Macaca fascicularis: one gene and its partner. The protein of the gene in region 1 purifies or fractionates together with the protein of each later gene. This does not show direct contact. Links are inferred from orthologs where the notes say so. Each region holds a gene or a part of one and is shown on either strand. Other genes may lie near its edges.

The links.
Region 2: the proteins of BTRC (region 1) and TRIB2 purify together in Homo sapiens (affinity purification with western blotting; 3 studies listed by BioGRID and IntAct, with this or other methods). This does not show direct contact. The link is inferred for Macaca fascicularis from reciprocal best matches to the Homo sapiens genes BTRC and TRIB2.

The regions. Positions count from the first base shown.
Region 1 is NC_088383.1:110,502,494-110,506,015, forward strand, and holds part of BTRC (F-box/WD repeat-containing protein 1A), read left to right. Parts: intron 1-81; coding exon 82-178; intron 179-1,123; coding exon 1,124-1,261; intron 1,262-1,788; coding exon 1,789-1,907; intron 1,908-3,470; coding exon 3,471-3,522. UniProt on the Homo sapiens protein: Substrate recognition component of a SCF (SKP1-CUL1-F-box protein) E3 ubiquitin-protein ligase complex which mediates the ubiquitination and subsequent proteasomal degradation of target proteins. Recognizes and binds to phosphorylated target proteins.
Region 2 is NC_088387.1:109,388,242-109,391,254, reverse strand, and holds the end of TRIB2 (tribbles homolog 2), read left to right. Parts: intron 1-92; coding exon 93-561; 3' UTR 562-2,507; downstream 2,508-3,013.

The DNA of each region.
Region 1 (3,522 bases):
AGCAAGACTGTCTCAAAATATATATGTATATAAATATATAATGTCATGATTTTCATTGGGAAATATTTGTTATTTTTTTAGGGGACAGTATTTATTCAAAAACAAACCTCCTGACGGGAATGCTCCTCCCAACTCTTTTTATAGAGCACTTTATCCTAAAATTATACAAGACATTGAGGTAAGAATCTATGTATTTTGGGGTATTTGCCCAGTGGCACAGAATTATCAGCATTCTTCAGTCACAATATGGTTACAGCAAGCCCATTAAGGTTTATTGACATGAGTTGCAAGTCAATCTCTTAGCTGGCTGTGGTGGCTCACGCCTGTAATCCCAGCACTTTTGGAGGCTGAGGTCAGGAGTTTGAGACCAGCCTGGCTAACATGGTGAGACCCCTTTCTCTACTAAAAATATAAAAATTAGCCAGGCATGGTGGCACACGCCTGTAATTCCAGCTACTCAGGAGCCTGAGGTAGGAGAATTGCTTGAACCTGGGAGGCACGTGTTGCAGTGAGCCGAGATCGTGCCACTGCACTCCAGCCTGAACGACAGAGTGAGACTCCATCAAAAAAAAAAAAAAAGAAAAAGAAAAGAAAATCAGTCTCTTTACAGGCAAGTAGGGTAGGTAAAATAAATTGCTAGGCAAAATTTTAAAGCTTTAAAAAATTGTTTACTATTACATAGATGAGAGAGATAAAGAGATTGATCCCTTCATACAATAGCAGTGTGAATGGTAAACTTGTCCTCAAATATCTTCTGAATTGAACCTCCATAGAAGTTCATCAGTAGCAATGGCCATCACATATGTAAGAGCACTGAGTGTATAACCTCACATAGTTTGTAGCTTTTCTCCTCTTGATGAGTAGTCTCTTCCCACTAGATTTATTATTTAATTGAACAAATTATAGGCAGGGGAGTTCTAGGAAACAAACTTTAATTACTTTGCAAAAGGGAAAATATTTTATAAATGTAGATAGTAGCCTTTTAAAGACATTTTTAAGTTTTCCCTAAGTTGTGTATATCCCATAGAGTAAAGCATCGAGCCTTTGCTTGTCATTAAAGCCCAAAAAGAGTTTGATTCTAGGCGTTTCCTAACACTGCCATTTTCCCATTCCTTCTTCTCAGACAATAGAATCTAACTGGAGATGTGGAAGACATAGTTTACAGAGAATTCACTGCCGAAGTGAAACAAGCAAAGGAGTTTACTGTTTACAGTATGATGATCAGAAAATAGTAAGCGGCCTTCGAGACAACACAATCAAGGTGAGGTCTGTTCAGTTGTAGGAAGGTAGCGGAGGGAGCGAGGCTGACTACATTCTTAGCACAGTCCAAAGCATAAACTCTAAGCATTATTTCTAGAAAGTAAGTGAAGATTTTAGATTGTTTCCAGTTCCAAAGCCAAAATCATTTCCTTAAAGGACAGACATCTGCTTCCCCCCAGAATATTATACAAATGGGTAGTCCTAGGGTTAAATTCTCTTCTTGAAATGCACTGAATGGGCTATTACTCTTTTGGCCCTCACATAATTATAAACTACCTTGTTCCTTAATGAAAAGGATAAAAGTTTGCATAGTACTGAAGCTATATATATATATATATATATATATATATATATATATATATATATGTGGGTGGGTGGGTGTGTGCTTAGCTATACCCATAGGGAAGAATGCTTTCCACACTACTCTGGGCTTTGATTATTTGGGGGATCAAACACATAATAAGACCAACAAGTCTCCACAGCACCCCATCATCACATTGATCAAAAGGATCTTATTTGCCATCCTAGATCTGGGATAAAAACACATTGGAATGCAAGCGAATTCTCACAGGCCATACGGGTTCTGTCCTCTGTCTCCAGTATGATGAGAGAGTGATCATAACTGGATCATCGGATTCCACGGTCAGGTAGAAAATTTCATATGCTCTTTTGAACTCTGAAACATCAGCTCTACTCTGTTCTTTGTCATAGATAGTAATTTTGTATGTATCGGCACAGTTCTGAAACTAAAGAAGAATAAACCACCAGGTCCCCATCATTTCTGTCAGTCTAGAACTAGAAAACTTGATTTAGGAATGCTTGAGGTAAGTTTACATTTTCACACATTTAAGAAACTACACGTTCTATATTAATTTGGAGGATCATCTATTACAGAAACTTTTCTTATCCTTATGGTAAACTTTGCATTCCTTACAAAAGCCATCTCACAAGGGAATGACATGAATGCAATGAAGCCTTCCTTTCAGGTAGTTGTAACTGTAGTGCAGGTCTGTATTATCTCCTTTGAAACATGTACAGGTGAGCTGTGCTCTCTTTGCCAGCCCCTCCCCTGCCATCCCTGCAGTTTTTAATTGCGAGCTTCACTCAGGGAGGGGCCCTCAATTTCCAGAGGCATTAGTGATTTGATGACACAGCCATTATACTGCTGGAGTCTGGGATAGCTTGAGTTCTGGGTACCAGCAGCACTGCTGGGAACCTCTGTTAGGAATTTTGCCTTAAGCTAAAGGATTTAGCAAACATAATGCATCAAAAGTAACTTTAAAAAAAATAGACGTAGGAAAAAAGCAGTTAACTGCATTGTTAGATACTCTGAAGTTAAATGTTTACCATTCCAAGTTATCCTCTGTGAATAGAAAAGACTGTTCCTGTTTTTTGTCTTTTGACTTAAAAGCATAGCAAACTTGTCCTTGTAGTTACTGACATTTAACATTTATTGGTGCTTGTGGAGCGAGTGCCCCACAGAATCTGAAACACTGTAGATGCTAACATCATTTATAAAGAAAAGATGATTTTCTATAAAAGGGGGCTAAACTGGAAAAAGGAAATAACATGTTATAAAACCCAAAGTAAATAAACAAAAATAGAATAATCAAAATATATCATCACACAAAATTCTCAAGCTATCCCAGGACCCCACACTCTGCTGTGAAGCCCATATTTACAATGCAGGGGCTGTTTTAAACCCCTGCCTACTTCAAAACACAGAAATGGGGGCTTAGAATTAGAGTCATGATTATCTTGGCCTTTGACCTTTATGATAAAACCTGAGATCCAGGGTAATCAAACTCAAATTCACATTACTAAGTATGTGACAGAAGCATCTTAGCCTATGTCATTTCTGGCTCCTGAGGGCTATCATTGGGATGGGCACTAATGCTACTGTTATTATTCAGATTCCCCATTTAAAATGTATCTTACTAATGGTATCCAATTGAATGTCAGAAGTTTTACAGTCTGGGCCAAATTATTAGGTGACAGTGGCTGCCACCTCATCCTTGCCCTCCACAACTTGCCCATATTTCAAGCAGTATGTCTTAAGGACACACTGGCAGCATCCCATTCCCTTTCTTCTCCCACTCTCCCGGTCCGGCACTCTCTCTAAATATAAGGGGTGGAAGGGTGCATGATGGTCAAATATAGGTAACAGACTGTAGCTTGAGTACCATCTAAATCTCATCTGTCGCTTCCAGAGTGTGGGATGTAAATACAGGTGAAATGCTAAACACGTTGATTCACCATTGT
Region 2 (3,013 bases), on another chromosome or scaffold:
TTCGGAAACACTATAGTCGGGTATGTTATGATGCTGGTGGTAATGTGTCTCCGAGCACCCTCAGGAGCTTATGTTTTCCTCCTTTCTTGCAGGACTCGGGTCAAGCTGGAAAGCCTGGAAGACGCCTACATTCTGCGGGGAGACGATGATTCCCTCTCCGACAAGCATGGCTGCCCGGCTTACGTAAGCCCAGAGATCTTGAACACCAGCGGCAGCTACTCGGGCAAAGCAGCCGACGTGTGGAGCCTGGGGGTGATGCTGTACACCATGTTGGTGGGGCGGTACCCTTTCCATGACATTGAACCCAGCTCCCTCTTCAGCAAGATCCGGCGTGGCCAGTTCAACATTCCAGAGACTCTGTCACCCAAGGCCAAGTGCCTCATCCGAAGCATTCTGCGGCGGGAGCCCTCGGAGCGGCTGACCTCGCAGGAAATTCTGGACCATCCTTGGTTTTCTACAGATTTTAGCGTCTCGAATTCAGGATATGGTGCTAAGGAAGTGTCTGACCAGTTGGTGCCGGACGTCAACATGGAAGAGAACTTGGACCCTTTCTTTAACTGAGCTCATGCCCCACAGAGACTTAGCAGGTACCAGGAGTGAGCGAGGGCAGCGGAAAGGAGTTCTTCCAGGGGACACGAATTGCCTGGCTGAGTAGCAAAAAAGACATTCACACTCTTAAGTTTCTTGGTTCAGAGAAGGATAACCTTCAAGGAGCTGACTGACCATGTAGCAAGGGGGCAAGAGGCGTGGGATGGGGGTTGGGGTGAGATGGATGGGAGCCCCCCGGAGCTTGTCTTCCCTAACATAGCCTGGGAGACCACCCCTTGCCACTTGGGTCACTTCCGCCTACCCCACTTTTCATTTTGTTCCAAAATAGTTGCAGATCCTCACAGAATGAAAACTCTCTGCCTCAAACACACATCCTGGCATCGCACTGTTAGCATTTAACTTCTTGTTAGGATTCAGGGAAGGAACAGTTGGCCAAGAATTTGTTTTTCTTTGAAACAAGCCAACCACCTAGCTGGTAATTAATGAGGTTCACTTAAAAAAAAAAAATTCGGTGCACACAGACTGACATGAAACCTGGGTGCTACACTAAAAGAAAACAAAAGTCCAGTTTGTGTCTCTTAATCGCTCACTTCAACTCATTTCTTCTAAATAAACTATTTAATATCCTGGTCAGGAAATGACATGTTAATGCTTTGCTCCCTGAAGGGGAAAAAAAATCTGTCCTTTAACAAGCTATTCTGTTTTGTGTCAATTGGTTCGTGGCAGGAAGCTATTAGAAGTCAAACGTCCAGATGCATTACTGCTATCTTAGTTTAAAGGGGGAAAGAAAAGGGAAGAAGAAAGGAAAAGAGAAATCCAACTCCTTTTTCATGTTTTGCTTTTGAACGATGAGGGTTTGTGTGACAGGCATTCCTCTTTGCTGAGGTGATAGCAATGGCCTGAGATTTTAGCAAGCTCCTGGAGTCTGACGCTTTTGCAGCACTCTGATCGCAACTAAACATTTGTCTTTGTTTTATTAGAAGCTAGTGAAACAAAGCAGGTTGTCCCACGTGTATAAAATACAGGGCAGCTATTTCGTTTTCTTTACGGAGAATGATCCTTTTGGCTTGTAAGGCCCTCTGGTTTGGACAAAAAACCCCAGTAGAGACGAGCGGGAAGGATAATTAGCTGGAAGCTATGATGATATAAATAAAAACAGCTCTCTATCCCAATACGCACCTTTGTATTTTCAAGAACTCTTCTATTTATTAAGGAAAATGTCACATTGTGATGTATTAAGCCAGTACTTCAATTACGGGTTGACTTGGGATGACATATTACATGCTGTAGTTAACATTTACGATTTTTTTTCCTTGTTTGAGTATTTCTGTCTCTGAAATAACCTTTTACTTGGCTTTTCTAGATAGCTTTATTTGATTTCGAGTGGCAAAATGTTTTTTATTATGGCTTTTCTATTGCTGTATGATACAGAACTCTTTTGGCATAAATATTTGTGTTCCCAGTACCTCACTTGTTTGGATTTGACTGCCTGTATATGTTTTGTGAAATGGTCCTGTTTTCGGGTAGGTGACACGTGGACTCTAGTATGTAAATGTTACTTGAATCTGTGCTTCATTATAGTGTGTGGCATGTATGTGCGGCCTCTTGGATGCTTTATGCCTGCGCAGCAGGAGCCCTGTCCTCACGTTCCCAGGAGGGCGGCTTCACCCTTCGTAACCAGGAGACAAGGCGGCCATGGATTTGCCCTTGATTCTATTTTGCTAATGGAAGATATAAAGGAGAGAAGGTTTTTTTTTTTTTAACATTCTGAAGATGGTGCTGTGTCAAGAAGGACGTTTTTTTCTTCCCTCTCCCCTATTTTTTAAGTACCTTGGAGGAGGAGAGATTGGTGACATGCATGGTGGGGATCTATGGCCTCTGGTGCTTTGTCCTGTATTTGGTTTAATGTTTTTGTCCTAATCTCTTCAATCAATAAAATTGTGCGTATTTAACTAAAATGTTAGAGTCTGGAAAATGATGATTTTTTTTTTTTTTTTTTTTTTTTTTTTGCCACCTGTGCTTTGTGATCACCACACACCAAGCAGAAGCTCACATCTTCTTCCAGGCATTTGCTCTTTCAGGGTGAGCCACTGCTACTAATTTAAGACACGGAATCTCCCTTTCATCATATCGGGGCATATGCTGTCCAATCTGGATGCAATAGCTCACACTGAATCGTTACAACAACTGTAGGTGACCTGACTTACGTTCCTAATACAGATTAGGAAATAAACCCAGAAATGTGCATGCCTTGTCCAAGGTTAAACAACTTGTAAGTGATAGGCCCAAGACTGGACCCCATGTCTGGTTAGCCACCAAGCTTGTTTACTCTTGCTACAATGTTAAGAGTCCCTATGTTCTTAGGGAGAGAGTAACAATAGCTCTGGAGTAATCAGGATTACATAGGGCACAAGTAATCCAGGCTTACACATGGTTTCCCTAGGAAAAGCCGTGTGCTGCAAAT